Linked DNA regions of Coturnix japonica. The protein of the gene in region 4 interacts with the protein of the main gene of each other region in a pairwise test. Links are inferred from orthologs where the notes say so. Each region holds a gene or a part of one and is shown on either strand. Other genes may lie near its edges.

Region 1 (6,058 bases), on a different chromosome or scaffold from region 4:
AGCGTTCAGCCTTGCTCTGTACAGCTGCTTGAACTTCTGTGCATTGGAAATGTTTTCGAATGTGTAGAACTGGATCCCTTCCTCAGTACTGGGCAACTTGAGGGCCCTCTGGGCTACCTTCTTCAGCACTTGGCCACCTGAGAGGTCCCCCATGTAGCGTGTATAGGCATGAGCCACTAGCAATTCAGGCTCATGCTGTCCCACGTGATGGATTCTGTCCACATATTGCTGAGTTGCATCTGAACATTGTATCTTCTCTTTCCAATCTTCTCCATAGAAATATTTCATGTCTTTAATCAACGCTTCTTTCCGGTGAAGCTCTAGAGGGAAATACAAAGGAGCAAACACTGGGTTGTCCTTATTGCGATCCATTTCCTCTTCCAGAGCAGAGTATGTGAAGTAAAGTGCTGTGGTAGCCAGCTATGGATAAAACACAGTGAACATAAGTTGTTTGCTTTATTGCACATTGTACCTTGTGACTACTCTGTCCCCTCATAGAACTGGGCTACACAAGGAAACCCCAGGCTTGACAACACCCCCCACCCCTCAGCCCCCCGTCCACCCCTTACACATGGGCCTGTGTTGTTCTGCCTCAGCAAGTCCCCAGCTGCAGTCATCAAATATAAGAGTTTCTCTGCCAAGGCCAAGCAGAGCCACACTCACCTTGAAGAGCTCCTTCTTGATCCGTCCTTTCAGGAAGTCTTTGACAAACTGAGTATTCTCTGCACGGTCATGGGATTCCTTAGTTCCCTCCTTCAGAAGTTCTGAAAGGTCACTGGGGCTGCAGGCAAGCAGGGAGAGCTCCTTTCACTCCATTTCCACATACAGTCATGAGTTTGTCCTTACTGAATTTGTAGGAACCCTCCAGCCTTGCCATCACAGGCTCAGTCTGGTGCAGGTTCAGAGCAGGGATCCCTTGGGCCAGCCCTGCTGGCTGGAACCAGCATCACCCCAGGAAGTGTCAGGGTGGCAGCAGCCAGGGCTCCCACCTTAATATCCTCCTTGGTCTCTTTGCAGAAGACAGCCTTGGGTAGGAGTGGATGGACACATACAGGCAGAACTTGAGCTTTTCTGACTGGGGCACCAAAGGTATTGCATTAATCATAGAATGGCCTGGGTTGAAAAGGACCTCAAAGATCATCTGGTTTCAAACCCCCCTGCTGTGTGCATGGTCACCAACCACCAGCTCAGGCTGCCCAGAGCCACATTCAGCCTGGCCTTGAATGCCCCCAGGGATGGGGCATCCACAGCCTCCCTGGGCAAACACTGAAGATGAGAGCCCAGTGACAAAATAGGGCATGAACACTCTTAAAGGGAAAAAAACAAAAACAAAAACCATGTATTTCTCCTGAATTCTGCTGGTTCTGCATGTTTCCACAAGCTCTCCTTCTAAAAACTTATTATCTTGGATCACAGCTACTGCACTTACCTGGAATTCAGTACAGGTATCAACACCTACACCCACAAAATTATGCCACAGTGCACCTAACCCTGTTTTTATGGCTGGTTTGCAACAGGTAACATGTTTATATCAGCTGTAAAAAAGATGTTTTGAATGCTCCATACTCATGCATTTAACAGGCTGAACACAACAGGAAAGCCAGGGAGTGGTAACCTCCATGAAGCTGAGCCTGTCAAGTCAAAGAGCAATCAGCTCACTTCAGTATTCTGGAACCACCCAACTCACCATTCTCATATAAGGAAAATTTTCCCTATAAAACACAGTTTAGAGAGCAGCTGCACTGTGTATAACAGCACACAGCTATTTGTTGTTTGGAGGGATAACCAACCATTCTGTTCAGACCTTTGAAGAAGTTCTGCAGAACTTGCTCTGCGTACATCACCTTACAGGAACAGCCTCTGTTCCTTTGCAGCCTTTGCATTTGTTCCTATGCTGTAGGAACATCTAACCCCAACTGCAGGGCAGCCTCAGTCTTGGCTGGACTGGTTTTCAGCTGGAGAAGACCACGTATGAACAAGGAGATCACTGAACTTGAGCTTGATATGCCCTGCCCAAACCCAGCTCTGTGCCACGTTACCAGACAGTGCCAGCAGCACCCACCTGACATTGTCATCTTCCACATCCTCATAGCGTAAGCTTTCCCCTTCATCTCCTCCTTCTGAGCTCTCCATAACTGACGGCATTGCTGGTTTGTTCTGGAGATCAGAGACTCTGAAAGGCAAAATTAGAGAGGGATTTTAGAGGGAAGCTGCCTTAACAAGAGCAATGGGGAAGAAACACAGAGCAGACCAACAGGGAGCCCTGCAGCTGCACCACCATGCAGGGTGGTGAGGGGCAGCCACCTGATGTTTTTATAGAAGCCTTCCCTGCAACAGAGCAGATAACATTCCAAAACAGAGGTAGATTTTCTTTCTCATACGATATAACAGCACACACAAGAAGTACCCAGAGCCAGGAGCAAGACACTTGGCTTACACCAGCTGAATACTCTGGCTTGGCCATAAATCCAGGCATCCCATTTATAAAATGGAGCTGTAATCAGCTTTGTGCTGATTACTCCCCCAAATTACAGGCAGCCTTGGCAGATGAGCAAGGAGCTAAGCTTCCTGCTGGCTCTTCAGCAAACCATGGCTGTAAAGGAGCCGGCTCCCCTCCCAGTGCTGGGTTCAGGCCTCCCTGGTAGGCTGCATCTGGGGACAGGAGGAGAGCAGATCAGACAAGCAGTTGAGAGCAGGCCAAGCAAGTTCATACAGAGCATGAGCTGGCAGAACAGTCAGTGGCTCCACACTCATGAGATGCAAAAGCAAAGGATGCTAGTTATAAATTAACCACCCTCCAGTTCCTCACCTACTTCTAAACCTCTCAGGAGCCCTGGACACCCTGCAGAGCTCTGTCCCACGATGCAGCTGCTGGTCAAAGCGATGCTCACTTGGAGCACTCCACTCCTCTGAGAGAGGCAGTGACCTACACATACAGAGCTCCCAGCAGCTGCCTGCTTGTGCTTCATGGGCTGGAGCACTGCTGCATTTGCTATGAGGCTCCTGGCTGACATTCAGAGTAAACACAGTCACCAGCAGCCTGCCTGGGAGGGATCCAGCAGCCACAGGAGTCAGGACAGCAGGGCTGGAGAAGATTTGGTATAGAACAGCTCAGCTCCAAATATTTCTTTCCCAATAACAGCACTCGGCCCCTCCTATAAAATACCTCCATCTCATCCAGCCAGCAGTTTGTTTTCCCCCTACACAGCAAGCTTCACACTCAACATGCACAGCTATTGCTCTCAGTGCAGGCAGAATAAATAATTCTATGCCTTCTAAAGGAATCCAAGAGACACTGCTGCAGTAAGGAAACAAGAGTGGAAGTCCTGGCTTTGCTTGGGCACTCTCATGAGTTCAGTAACTGACAGGACAAGCACTCGACACAGAGTTCATCTCTGCTATTCAACCAGCACACAGCTCCAAGGCATTCCCCAAACACACACGGCTGAGCTCCTTGCTTTAAAGCATCTCTGAAGGGGAAGGCAGACCCCAGAGATGGGATCTTTGATTGAGGTCATGACCAAGGAGCCCACAGAACAAATGGCTGCGTTACCAGATCCCACCTGGATTTAAGGCTCCACCTGGATTTAAGCCACGCTCCAAGCCCAATCAAACACTGTTTATCTCCCAGAGCTGCAGCCCAGCACATCAACGACTGAGGAATGAAGCACCTATAGAGAGCACAGCTCACTTGTCCAGCCCTGCCTTCAGGGGTTATGTTCTCCTATGGGCTGTGAGGGCAGCGCAGTGACACACACAGACATTAGAGCAGCCCGGAGCATCCTCGCACCCCGCAGCTCCCAGCGCTGAGGCTGATGGAGGTAACACAGGATGGACACGGGGAGGCCCAAACAAGGCCCCGACCCACCCCCACCCTCAGCACCAGGCCGCAACCAGCCCACCCAGCGGGCCCAGCACCCACCGGGCCCAGCACCCACCGGGCAGCGCTAGGAAGGACCAGACAGACACCTCGACCACCCCAGGACAAGCCCAAGGCCTCAGCAAGGCCTCAGCCCTATTGCGGCCCAGCAGCCCGGCCCGCCGCCACCTCAGCGCGACCCCGGCCCGGCCTTGTTGCCATGGAGACGCGGCGCACACTCACCCGCCGCCCGCTCGGTATGACAAAGGGCCGCAGCTGCCGGGCCGCATTTACCCCGCGGGGAGAGCTGTGATTGGAGGAGAAGGCTGTACGTCACAGCGAGGGGTGGAGCTTCCGCTCTGCCCCGCCTCACCGGCAGCCAATGGGGACACGGGGCGTCACGGCAAGCCCCGCCCCCTCGGTTTGATATTGCGCATGCGCCGACGGCAGCGTGGTCAATCCTTATCACATAGGTCAATCCTTATCACTTCGGTCAATAGCAATACATTTCCATGTCGCCTCTTCACACAGACTATGTGAACTCCACATTGTGCACAGCTCCTCCTGCTCTCATCCAAACCCAACGTTTCTGCTTAGAAACACCCCTAAAAGTCCCTCGGGAGACATCACTTATAGCTTAGTATTATTTCCTTCCGAATTATTTATTGTATATAAATCAAATAAAACCGAGGCAGTGCTGGATCAAACAAAATAATAAAGACGTTCCAAATACATAAATACATTCAAATCAAGCTTTTGCTTCTTTTGATTATTGCGCCTGTTTTGCTGAGTGAGAATCTGCAGACTCAGAGCAAAATCCAAAGGTGTTGTAAAAGTTAATAAATAAGGTGAAATAAGGTGAATATTTAGTGTCCGAGGCTTCCCCAAGAGACCCAGACAGTTTCCAACCAAGGATCGGTTCAGTTTGGAAATGAAACAGGTCCACAAAGATCAGGACATGAGAACTGCTGGAGAGATCCATTGGTCACTACAACATTGTCCTTAAAAAAGCCACTGTTGGGATCACAGGCTACAATGATAAGGTAAAACAGTGCTCAGAAAACGGAGCTGGTAATGTCTTTAGCACCAATGTCTGCATGTAAGTGAACACACGCAACTGAACGTACAAACCTTAATGGCTTCTACCTGACATCTGGTGTCACAGAGCACTTCGGGGAGCCACCACAAATAGAGCAGAAAAACACCTGCACTGTGCTGCAGCCACTTGTGAAACACACATGGGTTATTGCAGTCAGTACTGGAACATGAAGGGTTCAGGCCAAGGCTGGGGCAAATACCATGGCAAGCACCACTGGAGGAAGCAACCACCTCAGAAGCACCAACAAGAAGAGATGCTGGGGATCTAAAACCTGCTAAAATGGTAAGAGAAGAGAATGCACAGGATGAAACTCAGGGAATGTAAAAAGGCTCCTTGAAAGAGGAGTTTGTGCAGCTCAGAGGAGGGCTGAGAGCTGAAGCTCAGTTCAGATCCATTCTCCAGCGTGTCATCTGGACAGCAGGCCACAAGGAGGAGCAGTGCACCCACTGATCACACCACCTCCGCCAGCACCAGCCTGGAATAGGGTTTCCACCTTAGGAGGAAGGCCTCCATGTAGGAAATTTTCAGGATAGAGGAGTGGGATCTATTCAGTATCGTTTCCTCTTTTTTTTGCTCCCTTTTCTCTTCTGTTCCTTCTCTTTCCGGGCTCCAGCTGTGGTGAAGGTGATGCACTGAGCATCTAAGAAGTCCAGCAGCTTTGCCTTGGAAATCTTAATACCATTCAGTTTCAACTCTGCATGTAGGTCAGCCAGCTCAATAGGTTCATAGAAGAGAATCCTCTCGTACAGGGCTGGGTTTGAGCGGATGTAGCTCCTCACTGCCTCCAGTTTTTCTTCTTCCCGAGCTGCTGCCTGGGACGCTGGAAGTTCTTCTTCCTCCTCTTCAGCTGCAAATGCACAGGCCTCCAATTCCTTCACAAAAGAACTAGAAAGAAGGCCAAGAAGACCCAAAATCAAAGAAAGAACAAGCCGTGAAGGACAGAACCAGATCTCCCTAAGTAGCTGGTGGCCCGCCCTTGTGACAACCATCTGTAGGGTCATAGATTGATATCAGTACACACACACTGAGTGAAGAACAAGGCACATGTTCTACAAACTTTCCCATTCCAGCCATGAGAGCTCCCGTCCTGCTCTTTGAGG
Region 2 (6,263 bases), on a different chromosome or scaffold from region 4:
CACAAGATGTCCCTGTGCATTGCAGGGCAGCTGGACCAGGTGGCCTTCAGAAGTTCCTTCCAACTCTAAGGATTCTATGATTCTATTGCCACCTTCTTTACGTCCTTCCTTGGGCCTGTTGCTGCATAGTTTGGTGACATTTGGCAGCAGTGAAACTGCTTTCCCTGCCCTCCCCACTGTCTCCTCCGCAATTTGTTCTGTACCCTCTGTCTGATCTACTGAGTCATTTCCCCTCCTTAGATATTTCCTCTATTTATATACATATATAAAAAGCTTCCTTTTCCCTCCCACTTGTTCTTTGCTCATTACTTACTGCAACGTAACGCCTTGCAGCTGGGCATGGGAGTGCCCCATGCTGTTTCTCCATCACTGTGGCTGGGTGTGCTCCTCCCAGCAGCGGTCACTGGGTGCTGGGGTGCTGCCAGCCTGCCTCAGCTCTGCTCCAAATCCTACTTTTTAGACGATGCACTAGCTGCATAGCCAGGCTCTTACCATTCCCTTGATCCTCTGTTTCAGGGCTCGGCACTGATGCAGTTCTACCTCCTGGAAGATGTGAGCCATGGAGCCAGCACTGTCCCTGGGACCCTGAAGTGCAGCAGGATGAGGCTGCATCAGGGTTTACCTGGCAGCTGTGCCTCTGGAGGGAGCTTTGGTGGCCTCCAGATGGAGGGGGCTGGGAGCGATGCTCTCGTGCAGGCTCTGAGCCAAGCCGGCTGCATGGGACTCTCCAGCAGCTTGGGGCAGCCCCTGCAGTGTATGCAAGGGGACGAACTGTGAAAGGCTGGGAGAGCAGGCTCGAGGCTTCCGTGGGCACAGGAGGGGTGGGAGGGTAACAGCTATTTAACAAGAGAATGTTCCTTTTAAATTATATATTTATTTTAGATAAATTGTACATAGTATTTATATTTATTGGAGGTCTGCCTCTGTACCCTTTGTGTAACTCAAGATGACCCTTGTGTGGGTCAGACCTCCTTTATTTTTTAAGTGCAATGTAATATTCTAATAAATAACTTTGTAACAAACACGTGAGTTGTTGATTTAAGAGATGTGGGTCAGGTCTCCAAAGGGTACAGATAACAACTTGCCCTTTATGGTGGGGTACTAAAACTACCCAGGAGCATCTGTGGAGCAGCGGCACAGATCTCAAGCCTGCTGGCCTTGGGGTGCAGCAGGGATAATCCTGCTGGGGTACTCCCTGGAGGGGGGAGGGTTATGGGGAGCTGGGGTGTGGTCTGCCCTGCTCCTTGCCCTGGAACCTGCAGCTGTGGCAGCCCCGCGTGTTCTTGTATCTCGGCTGGCTCATGAATGGCTGCAATGCTTGGGTGAAGCAAAGCCACCTTGAGTTCAGCCACTGCAATCTAAATCCAGTGCCCAGCAGGGGCCTGGAGCAAGGCACTGAGCCCTGCCACCCAGCCTGCCTCCCTCGAGTGCTCCATCCCACTGCTGACACTCCTTGTGCCCCAGCACTGAGCCCTGCAACCTGCAGCACACCTCCTCCTCCACGAACACCGGCTGTTCTCCAGAGCAAGGCTCGTAGGCAGGCAGAATCTTTGGATTTAATTTAAAACCAAATCCAAACCAACACAGTGTGTTACAGCAGCCTGTTTGATAACCAAGTGTTGGTGCAGTGCAGTGCCACCATTGCTCACCTCACAGCCATGATCTGCATGGAGCAGAAGAGCTGCAGCACTGCAGGAGCGGAGCTCGGCCTGCGCTTCTGAGGGAGGCAGCCAAGGAGAAACCCCAAAGCTGCAGTGCTGCCTCCCTTTGGGAACAGCCACAGCCCCGCGGGTGGTTCCATTCCCCCCAGAGGAGCATTGGTGGGATGCTGTGAGGGCTGAGCACCTCCCCGATGAAGGCAGGCTGAGGGAGCCAGGCTTGTTCAGCCTAGAGAAGAGAAGGCTGTGGGGTGACATCATTGCAGCCTTCCAGCATTTAAAAGGGGATAATAAACAGGAGAGGAATCAGTTTTTTACTGGTGTGGACAGTGATAGGACAAGGGGGAAAGGTTTTAAGCCCAAGGAGGGAAGGTTTAGGCTGGATGTTGGGGGAAGTTCTACACATAGAGCGGGGAGGTGCTGGCACAGGCTGCACGGAGGGGCTGTGGATGCCCCATCCCTGGCTGTGTTCAAGGCCGGGCTGGATGGAGCCCTGTGCCATGTATCAGATATGGAGGTCGGTGGGCTGGAACCTGCTGCTCCTCGGCCCCCTCCCACCCCACCCCGCTCTAACCTCCATTCGGCCGCAGCCCGCTCCGCCCCGCCCTCCCACCGCCCCCACTGCGCAGGCGCCGAGCGTGGGGAAGATGGCGGCGCCCGTTGACTTGGAGCTGAAGAAGGTAACGGGTGTCCGGCTCCGTCCGACGTGTTTCTCGGGCCGCTGCTCCCCCTCCTCCCCCTCCTCCCCCTCCTCTCCCCGCAGTTTGGGCCGGCTCGGCCCGGCCGGGCGCCCCCCGCCCCTCTGCCCCCGGCCCGGCCGCAGCCGCTCGACGTGCCGCTCTGCCACCACAGGCCTTCACGGAGCTGCAGGCCAAGGTGATCGACACGCAGCAGAAGGTGAAGCTCGCCGACATCCAGATCGAGCAGCTCAGCAAGAGCAAGAAGCACGCGCACCTCACCGACACCGAGATCATGACGCTGGTGGACGAGACGCGCATGTACGAGGGCGTGGGCAGGATGTGAGTAGCGGCCGCACCGTCCCTGCAGAAGCAGGGATGCTGGGCTCCACGAGGAGCATCGGGGGAGCATCAGTGTGCACCCGGAGTATCGGTGTGCACCCGGAGTATCGGTGTGCACCCGGAGCATCAGTGTGCACCCGGAGCATCGGTGTGCACCCGGAGCATCGGTGTGCACCCGGAGCATCGGTGTGCACCCGGAGCATCGGTGTGCACCCGGAGCATCGGTGTGCACCCGGAGTATCGGTGTGCACCCGGAGTATCGGTGTGCACCCGGAGCATCAGTGTGCACCCGGAGTATCGGTGTGCACCCGGAGCATCGGTGTGCACCCGGAGTATCGGTGTGCACCCGGAGTATCGGTGTGCACCCGGAGCATCGGTGTGCACCCGGGCACGGTGCCCTGGGCAGCACCAGCGAGTGTGTGTCGGGCTGGTGGTGTCCACGTGCCTCAGCATTTGGAAGTGAGCACGAGGCTGATGCGCACTCGAGGAGCCGCCTGCCCGCGCTGGGTGGTGTCTCACACCTCACACCTGCAGTGATGCACCTGGGTTATTCTGGCAGCGCAGCTCTGACTGCAGCAGCCTCATGAAGTGCAACACACAAACTGGGTTCCAGTCTGACGTGTGTGCTGACTCACTGTGCCGTGCTAACTTTCTGTGTGTGCTTTTTCTCTTCCATTGTGAACTGGGCAACAGTGATGATTACGCTTATTCAGGGATGATGTTTTATAGAAGGTTGAATCTGATTTGATTGCTGCCCACAGGGCGATTGCATCTCCCCGCTCCCAACTCTCCTTTGTGCTGCAGCAGACTTGTAGCTGGTTCAGCCTGCTGTTGCGGTGAGTTCCTGGGCCTGATTCATGTCATCACACAATCTGTTGGGTGAGTCTTAGGGAGCTGCGGGCTGGGAAGCCAGGACTGGTATGTGGACTGCGCTTCACTGGTAGTTGTCAGGTAAGACCAATGGGAAAATGAAGCTGTGCCTGGGTTCATCCTGGGCAGCCTGATCTAGTATTTGGCAGCCCTGCCTGCCGCAGAGGGTTGAAGCTCAGTGGTCTCTAGGTCCTTCCCAACTGAAGCTCAGTGGTCTCTAGGTCCTTCCCAACTGAAGCTCAGTGGTCTCTAGGTCCTTTCCAACTGAAGCTACTCTGTGATTTTGATGGGGGGGTGTGTAGCGTGACAGCCTTCTTTGGACCACTGTGGAATTACTCCTGTTAAGTTTTCCAAGCAGATGAACTTGGGTTTGTGTGGAGCTGCTGATGATGTTGAAAGGAGATAGAATTTGCAGATCTCTTGCAGGAGATAGCTGATATGACCCAGGCAGGCTGTAGGCTCATTGTTTTTGTCACAGAAAAGACAAACTAAGAGATTCTGGAAGCAACAATTTTTCTTCAAATTTTTTTTTATTTTTTTATCTTTAATCTTAAAGCAGGGTATACTTCTCCATTATGAAATAATTCCTCAAGATTCTTTGAAAGCATCAATATATCAGCCTTCATTGTAAAATGTTGGTTGTGAATGAGATAATGTTTCTGTGCTAACTGAAAAGTACTGTCCTGCTTTCAACCCAGCTGCTGGAGTCCAGTCTTTTTGAGACTGTACTCTTGCTTACCTTCATGTGACCGGGCAGGTGGTTCAGACTCTGCTGTGCAGCACTTTGCTCCTCAGTGATGGTAGAAAAATACTATCTGCATGATATTAGTCTTCAAATGTTTGAAGTGTGAACTCTTTGCGGGTTCTGTTGTCCTAGTCACTATGCAAATTCAGGTTAAGAGTGCTCATGCTCTCCAAACTACTTATTCACTGATTTATTTTACTTTTATTTCCCCTTCCTTAGCTTACTGCAGTGTTTCTGTGAGTTATGCCTGATTTGGCCATGGGGCTTAAGTCTGCCTTTCAAATTAGTAGTTCTATTTGGGTAGAACGAGCTATTCCAGGACTTTGTGAAAACGGAGTGTTTCAGGAATGTGATGGTGTGCTGTATCCTGGGAAGAAGTCTACCTAGTTCCATACTTCTGCGCTACTTGTAAAGAATTATGTGGTTCCTGCTCTGAGCCCAGAGCCTGCTTCCTGCCCAAGAGGCTTTCCCTGAGCCACTGGCAAATGTGAAAGCCCATTTGTTGTTCCTAAACATTTACTGTAGCTAATTTTGGTTTAACACAACCATTGTCAGTGCCACATAGTATGAGGTGATGAATTGCTGTGTACTGTACATATCTGTTTGACTAGGATATCATCTGAGTAGTGGCACCGTGCCAAATACATTTTCATTCTCTTACTTCATGCTCTTTGAAAGGCTTGTTATCTAGCCTGAGACAACTACCACTGTGGTGGACTCCTGCTTAAGCTATTTGTGAACTGATATCATCGTGCTGCTTTGAGAACTATGCCGAAAGCTTAAGCTTCAGAATTTTGTCTGAATGCTTCCGACCTTTCCCTTCACATTCCATTAAATAATGACCTGGGCCAGCTTCTTACTTACCAAAGGAAAACATCAGGGGTTTATGCTGGGCACAGTGAGGAGACCACTGCAGTTTTTCATGCCATGCCAAAATAGATGTTCCATTTTGTTTTGATGTTGCTTTATCATTAGTTTTCTCTCATTTGCTGTAGAAGTAAAAATCAAGCAAATGCTGTAGCACACCTTTATGCTTCAGGGTTTCTGTGAGTGTACTATTTCTACAGAGATGGCTGTGATAATGGAATTTTTTATTTTATTTTTTCAAAAACAGCTCAGATTTTTTGGCAGAACCGTACGTGAGTGAAAGCTGTGAGAGGATTCAAGGTTTTTGAGCATTTATTGGGTTTGAATGCACTCCCATTTTTAGTACGATTCTGAATTTTGCTTCTAAATAAGACATCACAGATAATTGTAAACTTTCCTAAAAGTTTTCCAATGGTGTATTTTTGGATGCAGCAGCAAGAGCAGATTTTTGTTTTGTTTTGCGCTGTGTGTGTGTGTGGTTCTCTGAGGACAGATCACTGCAGAACGTGGTAGCCAGCCTCTGCTTCCTGCTCAGGTTTCCAAAACTCACTAAGAATGGAAGGACAGGCAAGGCTTTGTATTTATGGTTTGGTTACTATGTATAGGTCGGCCTGTGAAATCCAAGTGGCCACTATTTCCCATTGCCTTAGGTAAGGCTTTGTGCAGGTTCAGTGCTGAACCCCAGCTGCTGAGTAGCTGGCAGGTGCTGTGATACTTAAATGGATCCCAGGACAAATGTGTTGCTGTCTGCCTCTGGCCAATATGTACATCATAAGTATGAAGCTCACTTATCTTAATATTGAAAAAGTGAAGGTTTAATTTTCCACATAAAGTCTGGTTTGTCCAGTGAAGTAGAAGAAAACAGTTTGTATCCTGCTGCTTGTGACTGGACCACTGTTTATACGTTGTGTTGAACAAGACAGTTGTTCATGTGGAACAAAAGGCTACAGGGCACCATAAGTTTAGTACAGAGACACAACAAGAACTGCTCCTGGGAGAAGAACTCCCTGAAAGCAGCCCTGTGGAAAGGGACTTGGAGGTTCTGGTGGGTGAGAAGCTGGATGTGAGGTTGAGGCAGCAGTGTGTACTTACAGCTGTGCTGCA
Region 3 (5,603 bases), on a different chromosome or scaffold from region 4:
TAACTGTGTACTTATCTGGAAGCACCTACTTGTCTTCATGCTCTAAAGAGAGCTCTGACCAGCTCTGCTATCATATCTCATGCAAGAAAGCTGTATGTAGGACAGATCTAGATAAATTCCCTCCTTCAGTGACTCAATGTGAACAGCTTTCTGACTGCATAACAGGGTATCTCCAACCCACGCTTTACCAGCTGCTAACATGTCATGAACAGAACATCTGTGCCTCTAAAAAGCTACAAAAAAATAGCTGGCAAGAAAAGCTGGGTGATTCCTCCTCAAATTCAACCTGTTAAGCACTAGAAGAGATGCACAGGATTCTACCTCACTTGCTTCCATAGACTGTTTTGAATTTTAAATGATTTAGTTTTAATTTATTCCACTGCTCGTGCAACTGCTACTTGTCTCCGCAGGACAAGTGGGGAGAGAGAAGTAGTTCTGTTCTTCCCATTTCTTGAACAAGAACAGGTACCCAGCACAATTCGAGTATGGGAGAGTCTTCGTACTCACATCGTCCAACCTTCGATCTGTGCCCAATGCAAGCAGATTGTTGAACTCCCTCTCCAACACTTGTCGAGCCTGAAAATAACATCAAATGAATGTTCTCCATCTATGGGAGCAGCTCCAAGCACAGCTCCCCAACCCAGCCCTGAGAACGATGGAGAAAAAGCCCATTGACCATCAGAGTGCTCTGCTTTGAAAGGCAGAGTTGAGTTGGTGGGAGTCGCAATGCAGCTATGTCCCAGCCATCCTCCTCCAAAATCTCCCATGGAAGCTCTCCTTACCTGTGTGTTCTGCGTGGGGATTTGCAGCACGAGAGCCAGACTGTTGTGGTCAAAGTTTTCATCAAGGGCCAGGAGTGCCCCGTGCACCCCGCTCTCAACGAGGTTGTTGGCGTACTCGCGGAGCCCGATGGACTGGATCCAATGAATGACCTGGTCATTGGTCCACACCAACACGTCTGCAAAAGAACAAGAGCATGTTACAAGGAAGCCCAGACAGTGCTCTTGGTTGTGCAGTAGGCTGGGATGTGCTGGAGTCCTGCCACACAGCCCCAGGCTGAGTCTCCTTCCTGGGCCAGCAGCAGTGACGTGTAGCTAAGTGCCAGGAATGGCTCACTTCAAGTTACCAAACTAAATGCAGAAATGACAGGCAGAAAACAACTGTGAAAATTAATCCTAAGAGCCCTGGATCGATGATGTAATTAGGGGCATTATCAATAATGAGTTGTAATCTAAGCACAGGAAATGTCAGGATAGCCAACAAGGAAGGAGAGATTGATAAGCTGGGGGGTGTCCTAAGCATCTGAAAGGAGCAGGAGGAGACGCTGATCTGATGCTGGGACAAGGCCCTTCATGTCTTGACACCCTCCCTCCTTACTTATGCTTGACTGGGGTGAGATTAAAGGTACTTGGAACAATTAGCAGGGGAAATACTGCAGAGAGAACAGCCCTACAGGCATGAGCATTGCTCAGAAATACTGATTTTCATTTAGCAAGTGCTGTGTTATGAATATGAGAGAGACCATTACTGGGCATTTCTTTGAAGGTTTCTTGTCGGCTTTTCCACGATGGTGGATGTAGCTGCTGACCTTTGATTTCGTGCTGAGTCTCTTCTCGCCTCCTGTCAAGCTCTTTGCGGTCGTAGTTGAGCCTCTTCAGGCACATAATGCCATACTGTAGGCTGGTGCTGCAAGGACATAAGACATCACCCAACCTTCAGGAGGGCAGACACTTTGGAGGGACCCTGCAGAGGGACCCACTTTCCTACTAACTCTCCATGTGCCCAAAGGATGTTTTGGTGTAGGACTGAGTCATCATAGATGAATTTCAAAGGGATGATCTTAGCCAGAAGATGGAGAATGAACATCCCTCCCTTTTGTGGGAGTCCCCATGTCCATCAGTTTTATCCTGTTCTAAGAGCAGGCTGTCCCAAGTTTGGCCCAGATGAGCCACCCTCCAGCACTGAGGCTGGCCAAGACAGAGGAGAATCCCTCAAAATCCCCCATCCCCTGATCCACATGCAGGTACTGCACCTCAAGGACCTCCCAAAGGGGAGGACTCACCGATGGAAACTGTCCACCATCTTCAAGTGCACTCTGAGGTCTTTCTTGGTGAGGTGGTCCAGCATCCGTGCATCAACAAGACACTCCATGAAGTAACTGCGATACTGAGGGAGGCCCAGGCTGGGCAGCCACTCGTTCCCAATCCACTCATGGTTCATGTCCCCATAGGCCAGTGTCTGTGAAAGCAAATAGAGAAGCTAGGAAAAAAACAGGGCTCAGAAGACCTGCAGAAAGCCCCAGGAGATCAGTGACAGCTCAGTGCTGCAGCATGGTGGTCCACTGTCCTGAGAACTACATGTGGACTGGGGTGTTCAACCCTATTTTGGGCTGGAGGAGCTGGGGGGAATGGTCCTGTTGGCCATGACCCATGTTATGCTCATAGAGAAAGCACTGTGTGCAGGCTCAACTCCAAGCAGGACTCATCATGTGCTGATGCCCCATGCTTATTCCTTGGGTGCCCCGTCGTGTCCAGCTCTCCCTCCCACATCCACCCCACGTACCATTCAATGAATGAGACACAGTGGAGACCTCACCTGTGCCCAGCTGCCTTCCTCTGTGTCCTAAGCGTGACACATGCAGCATGTCAATAGAAAGGACAGGTAAAGTCAGTACACGGCAGCACTTCACAGTGACAGCTTATGCCACGTGTGCCAAGCATGGGACCCCTCAGCATGGTGTGACTATGATGGGCTTGTGGGGCTCAGCCTTGTTAGCAGGGTGCTGGGGATATCCCAGCCCTGCAAGGACTCAGGATTCATGACATCTCTGTCAAGCAAGGATGTTGGATGGGGCTTTTTTAACAGGTCTTTGGCATTAGCTGGCACAGACACTAGAGCTTAGACATCCATCATGGGAAATATGGGCAGCTCTTGGGTCACCTCAATCTGCCAATTTTGCAGCTTGTTATCACGGGCTGGTTTCTCTCAGCCTCACAAAACCTACAAGGGAAAGTGTGGCATTCCAGCTGTAACTCTGAACTCCCTGTCCCCAAAAGATCCCATTGCCAATAACAAACCTCTGTGCCACCCAGACAGCAGGCATGAGCTTCAGTAAAATGCCAAATTAATTCACACTGCCAACCCAAACTGCTGCCCCAGCTCTGAGACACAGACAGAAGGTCATTAAGCTGCTGAGAGGGGAGCGTGGTTACATCCCTCCAAAGAACCCAGAGCTCTTGGGAGCATGGCTACATCTCTCTGAGGAACCTCAACGTATCAACCAGCGGTAGGGACAGCAGGGGCAATATTTGGGCATGCTAATGCCAATGGGAAAGTGACTTCTCTGGGTGTTGGCTGACCAATGTGGATCTCAGTCTCATGCATCTATCTGAGATCACTCTTGTATTTTTCTTTCCTGTTTAACTCATAGCTGGCACTAGAAACCCAGCAACATCCACGGGGGCTTGACAAAGGAAAATGCATCTGATGTTTTTTTTTTAAGCCAGCTTTAGAAATCGTTGGGATATTAAAGACTGAAAGATGGTTTCTAAACAGGTGCATGGTGCTGGCCAAGAGCTGACACATGAGACACAGCAAAGATCCCCTTCCCTCCCGGGGTTTACTGCCTTAATGCACGCCTGGAGCTCAGCTCGGTAACTGATCCGCCATGGCGGCAGGGCAGCCAGCCTCACCGTCTTGGTGGACGTCGCCATGTTCTCCATCTCCTCGTGGGTCACCCAGACATTTCCAGAGGACTGGAGGAGAAAAGGGCAGAGAGGATAAAGTGAGCTGCTGTAGAACCAGGGCTCACAGCTACAGTGGACACAAGCCCGGCTCAGGGTGAAGGAGGATCAGAGCATCCTCACATGTGGAGCAGAGCCAGGGGGCACACAGCAGCATCCCTGCAGTTTGGGATGGTGACATCTGGGTTGTCCATAGAGCCATAGAGAGTGCAGCAAGATCTAGTGGCATTCTGTCTGCCTTTATACTTTGGTTTTATGTTCACAGAGCCTGCAGGCTTGCCTATGACAGCTGTGACCCCAGACAGGGCCATGTGAGGGCATGCCTGGGGCTGTTCCTTTTGCTGACTGTATTTCTACAGACATGTCTTGGCTTACTGGGGCACCATTAACCCCTTGGGGGCTTTAGAGACCAGCACAAGCTACAATCCCACTATCAGCCCCATGTATTATCCAGGGCAAGTGGGAGATCTGTGTTAAACACTGGCAAGTTCTTGCTGCACTTCCCTGCAATACTGGGACTCTCTGGGGGCTGATGAGCCACTGTGGTCCTACAGTGCCAGGGGATGGGGAAAACAGCTGTGGGATGGAGTGCTTACTGTCCGTGAGGTGGGTGGTGCTGATGGGCTCGTGAGTGAAACCATCTCCTGGATGGCCAGTCGCAGCTTTAGGCGATGCAGCGCGTTGCTGATGCCAATCTCCCTCTGGATCTCGGTGTCAGACAGGGCTGACATGATGGCTCCACTCTTCACGTTGGCTCGGCAAGCAGCAACGTACCAGGCTGGCATCCCTACCCAGAGCTGTTGAGACAGGGCAAAGTTGGGTATCCACCCAGGGAGGGTAGAGGACATCCAGTCTGAAGCTCCATATCAAGGCTGCATACCCAGGTTGGGATCCATTTTTGTTTGGACCTTGCATAGATTGCCTGTGGACACAGCAGCTTCTCTATATCTCATGGGTAGAGCATAGGGAATGCACATCCACTGAGCCTTTCAACTCAAGAGCTTGAAGAAACCCCAAAGGACAGCCTTGTAGACATGAGAGAGATATGGGGAATTGCTCTGCTCCCCCAGCTCCACTCAATTGGATCTACAGATGCTCCTTTGCCACCTCCCTTCTCAACAGGAGAGCACAGAAAACATCTCCATGTCTTGGGAAAGGGTTTGGAGTTGCTGAGCGTGGGTTGTTTTGCAACCACCACCCACATGCATGGAGCAAAATGGGACTGCAGGGTTCTGTACCCCTGCCAGGTGAACACACTGCAGACTGTGTGTGGGGACAATGTGTGGGCACACTCTGCCTCACCTCCAGCCAGGAGACAACAGTGGGACCATCCCAATGAGCAAAGGGCAATCCCTTCCTCCGAGCTTCTTCCAGAAGTTCATGCCTGGAGCAAAAAGAAGCAGAAGAGTGATTTACTGGGAGCCTGAGGGGAAGAAAGTAACTAGCAAAAGAGAAGAGACTATCAGAAGCAAAAACCAGCTGGAAACAAAGCAATAAAGGAGCTAACAAGGCTCAAGAGGAGATGAAGACAAGAAGTCTTCTCAGCAATTCCTAGCCCTGTGTCACAGCTTAGCAGCCAGAGCCATTTTCTTGCTGTGGCAGAGAATGAGGTTCACTTACTTCTTCCGTAGGCGCCGATCCTTTTCAGCCTGAGCACCCAGCTTGCCGAGTCCCAGAGGGTCCTGAATGCCCACCTCTGTGTCGGTCAGCAACACTGTTGGGTAAGCAAGATACTCCCAGGTCAGCACGTTGTCCCCCATGGCACTGCATGGATCCTTGCACCGAAGTTATGGGCATGCACAATCACAGTACAGGAGGCAATGGTCTCCATTTCCAACCCACCCCCAGAGCACCACTTGT
Region 4 (6,327 bases):
AGGACAGCAGCCCCCAGCAGTGCCCATCCAGCCCAGGGATGCTCTGCTATGCACAGGGCTGCGCTGTGTCCCTGGATGCCCCTGGGTAGAGGTGGGGGGCTGCCCCCCTTCTTCCCCTAAGCCCCCCCCAGCCCCGGGGTCAGGCCTGCAGCACCCATACCCTCCCTCATACCCTGCCTGCATGCAGGGTCGGAATTGCTCTCGCTCTGACAATAGGGACATGGAGGGTGGTGAGGGGGCCAGAAGATGGTCCCCATTGGGCAGGGGGGTCACTGTGAGCCCCCCCCCCCACCTGTACTACCCCACATGCAGCTTTGGTCTGCACTGCAACGAGAAAACCGACCCCAGATGACACTGCATCAGCACAGTGGTGATGGGGCAGGGGGTGATGCCGGCAGACAGCTCCCCCCCCCCCCCACAGATGGCCCCACAATGGAGACGGGTGTGGCGAGAGCATCTCTGCATCCCAATGGCAGCATCGTAACACGAGGAGACCCCTGCCCACACCCACCCTGCTGGGCCCCCAGCACCCCGGGGTGGCGGGGGGGCAGGTGGCAGTGACTGTGGCTGGAGGGGGGGGGGGGAAGGAAGGCATGGCCTCCTCCAGAGCCTGCGGTTTCCTGCGTCTTCAGGGTTGGGTTTTAATTACCTGAATTGCAACGCCAATGGGGAGATGGAGGCTGGAAGTGGGGGGAGCACACACAGAGAGTGCCCCCACCCTGCACAGAACCTCCTGGCTGCCTGGGGCTGGGGGCTGCGCTTCAGCAGAGCAAGGCCTTGTGTGCCCCCCCCCCCCGGAGGGTGGGGAGCTGGGGCGGCTGTGCTGGCTGCACCCCACCTCCGGGGAGAGGGAGGGGGGGGCTGGTGCTGGGGAGGAGGCACAGAGGCCTAGGAGGGAGAGGGGAACACGTGGGGAGGGATGTGGGGGGTTGGGAGTGGGGGGATGCGAGATGGGGGGGATCTCTGCTGCTCCGGTGACGGCTGTCACAGCGCCGGGGGGAGCACGAGGGGACCCCCACCCCATCAGCATCACCGCGGCAGGAGGACCCCAGCCCCAGCCCCAGCCCCATCCCTCTCCTCAGCCCCAGCCCCGGCCGCAGCCCAGCTCGCAGCGTTGCATCAGCCCGAACCGAACCGAACGGAACCGCACCGCTCCGCACCGCCGCCCCACCTGCTTGGCGCTGAGCTCCCGGTCCAGCTCCCGGGCTCGGTTGTGCCAGACGAGGTAATGCAGCGGGTATCTGCCCTCCGGCCCCTTCCTGCCCGAGCAAGACGCGAGCATCCTCCGTTCATGCTGGAGCGGCGGAGCGGGGCGCGGGGCGGAGCGGGGCGCGGGGCGGGGCGGAACGGGGCGCGGAGCGGGGCGGGGCGGTGGGGGGGGGGGGGTGGGTGGGAGCCGCCCGGACGGTCCCCCCCGCATCTTCCCCCCGCACCGCCCGGCCTCATGGGACTTGTAGTCACTGAGCGCGGCGTCGCCCCTTCCTCCTCCTCCTCCTCCTCCTCCTCCTTTTCCTCCCCGCACCCCCCGCCGGCCCTATGCCCCCCCCCATTGTATGGGGCTGTTCGGGGACGGCTCCGCAGCGCCCGAAGGCACAACCTGAATTCTTATCGCACCCCCCCGCTCTCCCCACCCACGGGCGCTCAACACGCAGCAGCGCGACCCCCGCGATGAGCCCGTGGGGTGCCGACCCCCCCCCGGCCCCATTTCCCTTTCCGCCCCCGTCCCTCCGCTCGTGTTTTCCGGCAGCCGCCAGAGAACAATGCGAGGTTGGGCCCCACGGCTGCCCCCCCCCCACCCTCCGACCCCTCCCCACGCCCCTATGGGGTTCCCGCGGGGTCACCCCGCTCCTTCCCCGCCCCTATGGTGGGCTGTGGCCGTGACGACCCCCCCCCAAAGGTCCCGCTGTCCCGTGACGTCACGGCCATGCAGCGGTGAGCTCAGCGCCGGGCGGGTGCAGCGTGACACGGCGCTGTGCCCCCAGCCCCGGGCGCTGATCGGGGTCCCCCGGGCTGGGGGTGGCGCCCCCCGACCCCATCTGACAACGGCACAGAGATGGGCACCCCCAGTATCAAACCCCCCCACACACACTATGCCAGGTTCAGCCATCGTGGGGGTGGGGGTCGGGGTGATTTGGGGCCTCGGGGGTGCGGGTGCAGGATGGGACCCTGGGCTGGGAATGGGGCTGGGGGCAGGGCCGGGGAGTGCATGGAATCAGAACCGGGACATGGGCTGGGTCAGAACCTGGAACGGGACACGGACCAAGGCTAAAACCAGAACCAATGGATGCCTAGAATGAGACCAACTCAGAACCAGGACCAAAATGAGAACCAGGCCCGGGTCCAGAGGATGCCCAGGATCCGGATCACTATCAGGACAAGAACCAGGGGTTGTCCAGGACAAAACCGGGACCAGGACAAGGTCCAAGACTAACCCAGGACCAAGACCAGGAGCAGGGAATACCCAAAAGCAGGACCAGAACAGAGGCAGGGAATGCCCAGGAACAGAACCAGGATGGGGACAAGAACAAGGAGACGCACAGAATCAGGACTAGAACCGGGACCAGAACCAGAGGATGACAGAGCCGGGATGAGGACGAGAACCAGCACCAGGACGGGCCCCGATCCGCCCCAAAGGGCCGCAGCTCCATCACCCGCTGCTGCTCAGGGCGCGCCGTGACTGCGCTGCGCTGCGCTGCGCTGCGCGGGGCGGGGGCGGTTCTGCTCCTCCTCCGCCGGGGCCGGGCCTGAGCCGCTTCCTGCGGAGCCGCCGGGGCTGCGAGCAGCCGGCAGGGCAGGCGGCAGGAGGGCGAGGCGGCCCCGAGCCCCGCCGCCCCCCCCCGACCCCTCCCCAACCCGACCCCCCCATCCCCCCCTTCCCCGGCCCCGCTCCGCGCTGGCGCAGAGACCCGGGCCCGGCTCGGCGCTGAGGATGTCCCGGAAGGCGCAGCGGGCGGAGGTGTGCGCGGACTGCAGTGCCGCAGGTAGGGAAGGGCCGCGCCCGGCCCCGTCGGCGTTATCCCCCCCCGACCCTCCTCCACGCGGGGCCGTTCGCAGTTCGGTTGTGCGTGTGCCTCCATCCCCTCCCCCCCAGCATCAGCACCTGGATGACGCCCCCCTCCCCCTTTGCTCTGGACCCCGCTGCCCCGCTCTGAACCCCCAGCTTTGTACCCGCGATACCCCGGTGCCTCCCTCCCCCCCCCGCACCCCCTATTTACCCCAGGGGTCCCAGTGACCCCCACCCTTCCTTCACACCCCGTGCTGAGACCCCAGGAGCCCAGGGTTCCCCCTGCATACCCTGCCGACTCCCTCTTTGCCCACAGCAACCCCACAACGTGCCCTAAATAAACCCCCCCCCCGTTCCCCCTGCAACCCTCGGTGCACCCCATTCCCCATCCCTTTGTACCCCTACTTTCCCTCTCGGCACCCAGCACTGTGCCCCCCGGTGCCCCTGTTCTGCACCCAGGAACCCTACAGTGAGCCCTAAAATGCCCCCTGTGCCCCCCAGACCCCTTGTTCTATCTCTTACAGCCCCTTGTTGCCCCCCATTACCCCCCACTCTTCACCCCCTACTTTACCCCCGGGTTCCCCTTTTACACCCCGCACTGGGAATCCCCGCTGCACCCCATTATCTCTATAACATACCCTAAAGATGGCTCCCCCCCCATATTGTGACCCCCAGACCCATCCCTGCGGCGCTGGGGGCAATGAATGAACGTTGAAAGCGGCTCAGAGCCCTGAGGATGGCGGCCACGTGCATGGGGGGCTGCGGGGTCACCCACTGCTGTGGGTCAGCCCCTGTTATAAGGTACCCGGCGGTGCCGAGGTTCCTATGGGGGAAATGGAAAGCTTTTTCTCCCAATCCCTTATCGCCCGGCGGCCATGGGAGGAAATGAGTTATAAAGTCCAGAGGCCGCTTCCGACATCGCGGGGCCGGGAGCAGCCGGTGTCGGGATGTGCGGGGTGCCCGGCTCCGGCATCGCCCCCGCGGCGCAGGGATGGAGTTTCCCATTGCTCCGGGTTATGGGGTAGCACCGTTCTGCTGTGCCCTCAGCCGCCCCGATCCCAATGAAGGAGGAAGGGGTGGCACTGCGAGGTGCTGTATGGGGTGCTGTATGGGGTCCTATATGGGATCCTATATGGGGTGCTATATGAGGTGCTATATGGGGTGCTATATGGGGTGCCCCCCCCCCGGCACGCAGCATCCTGTTCCCGGCAGCGCCCCGTGGGCCGCGGTGCGGAGGCGCAGATGCGGCGGTGCTGCTGCCAAGCGCTGCCATCTGCCCGGGCGGTGCTGCCAGGATTTGGGGGGGGGGACGACGACAACACTGCCTTGTGGCCGCTGCCGGCTGTGCCCCCCATATTAGAGGGGTCGGGGCTGCCTGGTGTGGGGCAGCAGTGGGGTTTTGGGGAGGGGGTGGGAAGGAAGCGCCGCACTGGGTGATGGGGGTGGGTCGCTGGTGGTGCTGCTGCCCCCTCCCACCCGCAGCCCTTCCTCCCGTGGGGCGGCGCGGTGTTTGTGTAGGCCCTATAGATGCACAACACTCCTCTGCTATGGCACAGGGACGCTGGGGACCGTATGGCCCACCCTGCCCCTGCCCCCTGTGGAGGGGGGGGTGGCACCCCATCTGTCCCCCATCCCTTCTGTTGGTGCCGGGGGATCTGGACCCATTGGGGTGCTGGCTGTGGGGAGCTGCCCCCAAAGAACGGTGGGGCCCCCGTGGCTGGAGCGGGGCCGGTGCCAGCACAGTGCTCAAACGTCCCTTTGTTCTCCTGGGGACACAAAGGGCTCCAGTGCGGCCGAGCGGGGCCGGGCAGGGGGCGTGGGGCTGCTGGGGGGGGCACAGCCACTGAGTCCGTGATGGCTGAGTGGGTGGGAGGGCACCCACCTGTATGGGGACACCCGCAGCACAGGGGACACAGCATCGGCACGTAAGGGTGTATTGCACAGTGCTGGCATCGCCCCCGCTGCTGTCAGCCCTTCTGATGAGGGGGCCAAATCCTGCCCCCCCCCCTTGGTTGCTAAGGGAACCCTTTGGGTTTCCCCTGGCGATGGGCTGAGCCCCTCTCCGTCACCCTGGAAACCGCCATGTTGCTACGGTGACGCTGCCCCCCCCCACACACAGCCCCCCCTACATAACACCCCACGCCCCCTGCAGACCCGGGCTGGGCCTCCATCAACCGCGGTGTGCTCATCTGCGACGAGTGCTGCAGCGTGCACCGCAGCCTGGGCCGCCACATCTCCATCGTCAAGCACCTGCGGCACAGCCCCTGGCCCGCCACGCTGCTGCAGGTGGGTGCACCCGGGGGGGGAGGTTACAAGGGGGGTGTCCCATCGGCTCACTGTGCCCCCCCCCATGCATAGATGGTGCACACCTTGGCCAGCAATGGGGCCAACTCCATCTGGGAGCACTCGCTGCTGGACCCGGCGCAGGTGCAGAGCGGGCGCAGGAAGGCAAATCCCCAGGATAAAGTGCAGTAAGTGAGGGCTGTGTGTGGGGATGGGGCTGTGGGGATGGGGGGAGCTGTGGTGGATGTCCCCCCCCCCTCACCCTGTGTCTCCAGCCCCACCAAGTCAGAGTTCATCCGCGCCAAGTACCAGATGTTGGCCTTCGTGCACAAGCTGCCGTGCCGGGATGATGATGGTGTCACCGCCAAGGACCTCAGCAAGGTGGGGGCACGGTGTGATGGGGACCCCCCCTTGGTGCTGCTGACACTCCTGGCACTGACTGCTGCCTCTCCCCCTGCAGCAATTGCACTCCAGCGTGCGGACGGGCAACCTGGAGACGTGTCTGCGGCTGCTCTCACTGGGGGCTCAGGCCAATTTCTTCCACCCGGTGAGCTCTGGGGGGGGCAGACAGCCCGGGGGGGGGGGCATGATGTTGTCATCACGGGGCTGACGCCGGCTGTACCCACAGGAGAAGGGCACCACACCGCTGCACGTGGCTGCCAAGGCAGGGCAGATCCTGCAGGCAGAGCTGCTGGTGGTGTACGGTGCTGACCCTGGTGCGCCCGACGTCAATGGGAGGACACCCATCGACTACGCCAGGTGAGAGCGTTGGGGTGGTGGGGGGTCGTGTTGGGATGGGAGGGACGTGGCCAGCCCAGGGTTGGTGTCACCCCGGCCGTGCCCCGTAGGCAGGCGGCCCAGCACGAGCTGGCAGAGCGGCTGGTGGAGTGCCAGTATGAGCTGACCGACCGGCTGGCCTTCTACCTGTGCGGCAGGAAGCCGGGTGAGTGCTGCACCCATCGCATTGCATGGGGGGGTTAGGAGGGGCCGGAGGGGCTGATCTCACCACCCCTTATCTCTGTGCAGACCACAAGAACGGG
Region 5 (6,294 bases), on a different chromosome or scaffold from region 4:
GGAGGAAGGAACAGGATTGATAGGGAACAGCACCAACGCATTGCAAAACCAAGCAGAAAATGACCCAAAGCAAACAGTGAAAGGAGTTCAAGCACCTCGTGTTTGTCTTAGTGCAAACAGGGAGGGTGGGAGAGGCTGGGTTCACACCAAACGTGACTTTGCACGGTGCAGGGTGGGAGACTGTAGGGCAAGTTCAAAGCACGCTGAGCTCAGGGCAGCAAATTCAGCCCCCACTTTGAACAGACAAAGCAGAACACAGCAAAACCCAACACAGATCAAACCCATGCATCACACTTCAGAGAGCAAGAGAAGCAGCACAAGGATAAGGATACTGACCCATAGGGATGCTGAGCACCATTGGTGCCTTATCTCCAAATAAAACCAGCCATAAAATGACCCCAAATGCTGAGTGCTGAGGCTGCACTTACCCCTGTGATCACAGCTCCATGGTGGGAGGGCAGCAGCAGCAGCAGGCAGAGGGTCTGCAGCAGCCACCTCATGGTGCTGTTGTCTGCCTGCACCGCCTGCACCCCGGCCCTATATACCCCCCTGCCCTCCCCTCCAGCCTGGGTGGGTTATTGGGTTGTTTTTAACCTCCCAATCAGAGCAAGCAGATGAGACCTGCATCGTTAATAGTAGGAAAGAAATATTCTTTTCCCAGCGAGGAAGGGGGGGTGGAATACTCACAGAGCAGCCATCCCGCCCCCATCCATATCCCAGGGTTATTTCTCAGCTCAGCTAACACAGCTGGATTTGTTGGGCTGGTGCATATTTATCCCTGACAGGTGTAGCTGAGGATCAGATTGAGAATTAGCAGTTCTGGAGCTAAAAGGAGATAGATATAAAGGGCCGTCGTGGATGGTACATGATGTGTAAATGACTCAATTGGTGCTTCATAGGATAGTGGGATATCCTGAGTGTGTCCCCCCTCTCTATGGGTCTGATTGAATCTGGAGCGTCTGTTGGGAGCACATGGAAACAAGAGCAGGGATTGCTAGAGCTTAAAAACAGGAGAGGATGAACCGTCAGCATCTGCTTTTATTTACACATTGTGGGAGGGTGTGAGGGACAGAGCTCTGCATGGAGAAAGCTTCATGAATCCATAGAAATACACAGCTGTGGCTGGTGCTTGTCCTGTGCTCCCATGGCCCAGCCTGGGTTCCCATTGCCCAGTGCCATGTGTGCCCAGGAGGTGGCAATGCTCCTTTACACAAGGGCTCGAAGTAAGTCTCTATTGAAGGAGCATTACTGATATTGACCCACTGAATGGAATCTCTCCAGCCCTGGACTTCAAGGCACCATCCCTGTAACATCCAGGCTGCCAAACAGCAGAACAGCTTTGCTTCCTGCTGTCTCTGACAGCAGAATTTCTCTTGCACAGCATCAATCCCATGTTAAATTATCTATTTAATTGCCTAAAAATAGCCCGGCTATTTCCCCCTCCAAAGGCCAGCGTCCCCTTTGAAGTGGCAGCTGTTCTCCTGCTTTGCTGAAGTCTCCACCTGGTCTTGAATTAATTTCTCCCAGTCCTCAGAAATTCCTCCGTCCTAAAGCCTCACTGCAGGGAATGGGCCATCAGCTGGGATTCTGGGGTCCCTGTGTGTGTATGTATGGGGGGGATTCAACCTTAATAGGGCACAGCTGTATCTTATTCCTGTGTTCCCCCCCACAAAGGAGGGTGAAAATAACCCAAAATGGAGCTCTGGGACAGGCAGGATATCCAGTATGGGGGGGATGCAATGGGATTGGAGTGACTGGTGACGATTCCAACTCAATCAAGAAGGGGAAAAAAATTGAAAGAGAAATAAAACTAAGAAAAATCACCACTGCATTTCACTTCCCCCATCAATAACATTTTAATTTTCCAGCCTGACATGATAAGATCCATTGCCAGGGCTGAGCTGGATGCGTTTCAGCCATCAGTCTCAGGCTCTGATGGCTCTGCCATCCATCACCTCCTGCACACTGAAAGCAGGGCACGAATGGCTGTGATACAACACTACAGCCCCACGTCCTCTGTGGGAGTGGGTGTGGGGCCCTTACAGCTCTTTGGGGACAAATACAGGGCATAAAGAAAGGTATGGAGCTGTGTTGGGATGGACAGGATGGGTGTTAGGAAAAGGCTGAGCACCAGAGGGAGGTGGGCATGGCACAGCTCCACAGGGCAGGGGCACCCAAAACCATAGGGGTTGGGTGGAGGGAGTTGGACTTAGTGGTACCTGTAGGTCCTCATTGACCAGTGGTTGACTAATGGTTAACCAATGGTTGACCAGCTGTTGACTAGTGGTTGGCTTCTGGTTGACCAGTGCTTGCCCAGCAGTTGACTTGTGGTTGGCTAATGGTTGACCAGCAGTTGACTAGTGGCTGACTACTAGTTGACCAATGGTTGACCAGCAGTTGACCAATGGTTGACCAGTGGTTGACCAATGGTTGACCAACAGTTGACCAGTGGTTGACCAGTGGTTGACCAATGGTTGACCAGCGGTTGACCGGTGGTTGACTAGTGGCTGACCAATGATTGATTAATGGTTGACCAGTGGTTGACCAGCAGTTGACCAGTGGTTGACAATGGTTGACCAGCAGTTGACCAACAGTTGACTAGTGGTTAACAGTGGTTGACCAATGGTTGACCAGTGGTTGACCAGCAGTTGACCAATGGTTGACCAATGATTGACCAATGGTTGACCAATGGTTGACCAGCAGTTGACCGGTGGTTGGCTAGTGGTTGACCAATGGTTGACCAGCAGTTGACCAGTGGTTGACTACTAGTTGACCAATGGTTGACCAATGGTTGACCAGTGGTTGCCCAATGGGAACATACCGGTGCTGCTCAGGGCGGTTCCCGTACATTGGCTTCGCTTTTTGGCCCTGCGGAGCCACCGTAGCGTGCATCACATGACCGACGCAGCTGCCAGGAGCCGCCGAGAAGGGCGGAAGTGAAGGCGACAGGGGGGCGGCATGGAGGGGAGCCTGGAGCAGCACCTGGAGGACACGTACGGACCGGGATGGGGGCGGCGGGACCGAGGGGCTGGGGGGGGGAAGGAAGGCAAGGCCGCGGGCTGGGGGCTGGGTGTAGGCCGGGCTGACCGCCGCTTCTCCCGCAGCATGAAGAACCCGGCCGTGGTGGGAGTCCTGTGCACCGACTCGCAAGGCCTCAACCTGGGGTGTGAGTATGGGAGCGACCAGGGCAGGGCCTGGGTTAGGGGTGGGCATGGGGACACACATAGAGCCCCTATAGACCCCCATAGAGCCCCTATGGACCCCCTATGGACCCCTATGGACCCCCCCCATAGGACCCCTATGGACCCCTATAGAACCCCTGTCCCCCATAGAACCCCTGTGGACCCCCCCGCATAGAACCCCTATGGACCCCCCTATAGGACCCCTGTGGACCCCGCATAGAACCCCTGTCCCCCATAGAACCCTTATGGACCCCCCATAGAACCCCTATGGACCCCCTGTGGACCCTCATAGAACCCCTATGGACCCCTATAGAATCCCTGTCCCGCATAGAACCCCTGTGGACCCCCCCGCGTAGAACCCCTATGGACCCCCCTAGTAAACCCCCTATGACCCCCCCAGTATAAGACCCCTATGGACCCCGTATAGAACTTCCTGTCCACCATATAACCACTGTGCGACACCCCCCATAGAAACCCCTGTGGACCCCCTCATTAGAACCCCCCCCCAAACCACAGAACCCCTGTGGACCCCCCTGGATAGAACCCCTTGGTGACCCCCCATTAGAACCCCTATGACCCCCATAGATAAAAAAAAAAAACCCCCCCCCCCCCCCCTTAGAAACCCTGTGCCCCCCTGGCATAGAACCCCTTTGGGACCCCACCCAGTAGAAACCCCTATGGACCCCCTCCCCATATAACCCTATGGACCCCCCCCATATAACCCTATGGACCCCCCCATAGAACCCTATTGACCCCCCCATAGAACCCCTATGGACCCCCCATAGAACCCCTGTGGACACCCCATAGAACCCCCCCCATAGAACCCCTGTGGACCCCACCCCCAGTAGAACCCCTGTGACCCCCCCACATAGAACCCCAGACCCATAGAATCCCTGTGGACCCCCCATTACGAACCCCTATTACCCCCCCATAGAACCCCGTATTGGAACCCCCATAGAACCCCCCATAGAAACTCACGCATCGCAATGCGTGTCTGGATGCATACCCCCAAAGAACCCCCCCATAGAACCCCTTGGACCCCCCCCATAGAACCCCTGTGGACCCCCCTGCATAGAACCCCTGTGGACCCCCCTGCATAGAACCCCTGTGGACCCCCCATAGAACCCCTATGGACCCCCTTTGGGACCCCCCCCCCATAGAACCCTTATGACCCTCCATAGAAACCCCTGTGGACCCCCTGTAGAGCCCCTGTGGACCCCGCATAGAACCCCTTATGGACCCCCCCATAGAACCCCAATGGACTCCCATAGAAGCACCAGCACAGGTTGCCCCTAGCTAGATGTGGGTGCTCTGGCCCTGGAGACACTGGAAGTCAGGGATGGGGGCTGTGAGCATCTGCTGGAGCTATGGGTGTCCCTGTTCATTGCAGGGGGGTTGGGCTGATGGCCTTTATATGTCCCTACCAACTCATGTGATTCTTTGATCTGGGGAGGTACTACATCAGCTTACAGCAATAAGGGAAGGAAGTGGGGATGGGGAGCTGCCTCCCATCACGGTGTGCGTGAGTTCAACCCACATCTCCCCTCTTGCAGGCCGAGGAACGCTCTCAGATGAACATGCTGGAGTCATCTCTGTGCTGGCCCAGCAGGCAGCCAAGCTCACCTCCGACCCAACCGACACTCCTGTGGTGTGCCTGGAGTCAGACAGTGGGTGAGCATCCAGCCCAAGGCTGCTGCTCTTCCCTTTTTCCCCACCCCAAATCTCCAGAGCAGAGCTCTCCATCTTCTATTTCACTGGCAGAGCTGGAGGAAGCCCCATTGCTGAAGCTGTGTTGGGAGGGGGGTATGAAAAGAAGTCAGATTCATGGGACCTCAGGCTTTGGGAACTGCAGAAGCAGCTGGAAGCCTTTCAGGGGCTGGTGGTTGCTGCAGCACTGTATTTCTTTTGCTTTTTGGATCCCCATGGATTATTTAGCCCATGCTGTAGTGTCGTTTTGGTCAGCAGGACTCCATCATCCCCCTTTGTGGGAACAGCTGACAGGTCTGGCACTGAGCTGCCCATCTGGTTTCCCAGCCAAGTCAGCTCCTGCTCTCCCAGCTGGTTTCTCACCTTCCTCTGACAGCACTTTCCTTGCTCTAGGAACATCATGATCCAGAAGCATGACAGCATCACCGTAGCAGTGCACAAGTTGGCATCCTGACCGTGGCATCCTGATGCTCCATTCCCTGCTCCAGACCAGCTCCTCCTCATTCTCCTTGGCTGTTCCAATGCAGAACACGCTTCTAGTACCAAATCTGGGCTGAAGGCTCTCCCTCTCTACTTACCAGCTCCTATGCATCTATCAGGGTTTCCAGCTCACGTTTTAGCAGTCGTGCTGTTAAAGACGTGAGTCACTCACCAAGCTTGTGTAATGATAGATACTACAAGGTGTGTGTGTGTGTGCGTGGCCTTATTTGTTGGAGAAATCAATAAATGACCTGCAAAAACTGTTGCTTCTCTTTGATCCTACTGTGAAAGCCCATTGCTTTCCCTAAAGCCAATTGGAGGGACTTCTCCCAGTCTGATTCTTCATTGGCATTGCTGCAGAGAAAAGGGACCAAGACTTGGAGGTCCCTCCAGTAGAAGAGATACAAATAGTTCTCTATTCTCCTAGGAAATGTTTAGCCTCCTCTGGTTAAGCTTTCAGTGAGAGCAGCTTATTATTATGCTTCGGATTGAAGTTCAAACCTCAACTTGTTGGCCCTCGTGTGAACTGTGAACGGATGCTGATGACATCCCCGCGAATCCTCTCTTCCCTTTAGAGGTTTGAGCATTTGGAACTGGGCAGAACAATCCCATAGAAAGGCCCTGAAAAGCTGCTTTGCTCGAATGCTTCCGCAGCACAAGGGAGCAGACAGGAGCTGGCCTCATACGTGGAGCAGAAAGGAGGCTTCACTGCAGAGCATAGACCAACAGATAGGGCAGGGTTGGAGCTAAAACTGCATTCACTGTGTAAAACAGACATTCCTGACCTCACCATCACTGTTATGTATGTAGCAGGCTCTAAGGATGGGCTGCTCTGCACAGCGCTCTCATGGTGAGGTTGGTGCTAATGGAGGTGAGCAGTGCTACATCATGCCCATCATTTACCTCCCCTTTATTTTCTTTAATG

What was found.
Region 1: the proteins of GIT1 (region 4) and HMOX2 interact in a two-hybrid assay, tested with the Homo sapiens proteins (2 studies listed by BioGRID and IntAct). The link is inferred for Coturnix japonica from reciprocal best matches to the Homo sapiens genes GIT1 and HMOX2.
Region 2: the proteins of GIT1 (region 4) and PFDN1 interact in binary tests that used the Homo sapiens proteins (3 or more experiments, as listed by UniProt). The link is inferred for Coturnix japonica from reciprocal best matches to the Homo sapiens genes GIT1 and PFDN1.
Region 3: the proteins of GIT1 (region 4) and PPFIA4 interact in a two-hybrid assay, tested with the Homo sapiens proteins (2 studies listed by BioGRID). The link is inferred for Coturnix japonica from reciprocal best matches to the Homo sapiens genes GIT1 and PPFIA4.
Region 5: the proteins of GIT1 (region 4) and LAMTOR5 interact in a two-hybrid assay, tested with the Homo sapiens proteins (2 studies listed by BioGRID and IntAct). The link is inferred for Coturnix japonica from reciprocal best matches to the Homo sapiens genes GIT1 and LAMTOR5.

Annotation. Positions count from the first base shown.
Region 1 is NC_029529.1:10,966,893-10,972,950, forward strand, and holds the start of HMOX2 (heme oxygenase 2), read right to left. Parts: upstream 4,202-6,058; 5' UTR 4,150-4,201; coding exon 4,103-4,149; intron 4,046-4,102; exon of another isoform or gene 3,939-4,045; intron 2,174-3,938; coding exon 2,063-2,173; intron 782-2,062; coding exon 664-781; intron 421-663; coding exon 1-420. Other genes in the region: structure-specific endonuclease subunit SLX4, read right to left, coding at 5,507-5,843.
Region 2 is NC_029528.1:15,556,900-15,563,162, reverse strand, and holds the start of PFDN1 (prefoldin subunit 1), read left to right. Parts: upstream 1-2,213; 5' UTR 2,214-2,305; coding exon 2,306-2,338; intron 2,339-2,510; coding exon 2,511-2,677; intron 2,678-3,438; coding exon 3,439-3,513; intron 3,514-3,634; exon of another isoform or gene 3,635-3,768; intron 3,769-3,800; exon of another isoform or gene 3,801-6,263. UniProt on the Homo sapiens protein: Binds specifically to cytosolic chaperonin (c-CPN) and transfers target proteins to it. Binds to nascent polypeptide chain and promotes folding in an environment in which there are many competing pathways for nonnative proteins.
Region 3 is NC_029541.1:1,342,919-1,348,521, reverse strand, and holds part of PPFIA4 (liprin-alpha-4), read right to left. Parts: intron 5,458-5,603; coding exon 5,364-5,457; intron 5,128-5,363; coding exon 5,046-5,127; intron 4,541-5,045; coding exon 4,340-4,540; intron 3,756-4,339; coding exon 3,693-3,755; intron 2,623-3,692; coding exon 2,596-2,622; intron 2,239-2,595; coding exon 2,063-2,238; intron 1,687-2,062; coding exon 1,589-1,686; intron 959-1,588; coding exon 783-958; intron 577-782; coding exon 508-576; intron 1-507. UniProt on the Homo sapiens protein: May regulate the disassembly of focal adhesions. May localize receptor-like tyrosine phosphatases type 2A at specific sites on the plasma membrane, possibly regulating their interaction with the extracellular environment and their association with substrates.
Region 4 is NC_029534.1:4,842,757-4,849,083, reverse strand, and holds the start of GIT1 (ARF GTPase-activating protein GIT1), read left to right. Parts: upstream 1-2,817; 5' UTR 2,818-2,929; coding exon 2,930-2,981; intron 2,982-5,156; coding exon 5,157-5,290; intron 5,291-5,362; coding exon 5,363-5,475; intron 5,476-5,562; coding exon 5,563-5,668; intron 5,669-5,747; coding exon 5,748-5,834; intron 5,835-5,915; coding exon 5,916-6,046; intron 6,047-6,135; coding exon 6,136-6,230; intron 6,231-6,313; coding exon 6,314-6,327. Other genes in the region: ANKRD13B (ankyrin repeat domain-containing protein 13B), read right to left, coding at 1,172-1,282. UniProt on the Homo sapiens protein: GTPase-activating protein for ADP ribosylation factor family members, including ARF1.
Region 5 is NC_029541.1:1,787,935-1,794,228, reverse strand, and holds LAMTOR5 (ragulator complex protein LAMTOR5), read left to right. Parts: upstream 1-2,858; 5' UTR 2,859-2,958; coding exon 2,959-2,993; intron 2,994-3,104; coding exon 3,105-3,166; intron 3,167-4,735; coding exon 4,736-4,853; intron 4,854-5,282; coding exon 5,283-5,343; 3' UTR 5,344-5,630; downstream 5,631-6,294. Other genes in the region: PROK1 (prokineticin-1), read right to left, coding at 429-500. UniProt on the Homo sapiens protein: As part of the Ragulator complex it is involved in amino acid sensing and activation of mTORC1, a signaling complex promoting cell growth in response to growth factors, energy levels, and amino acids.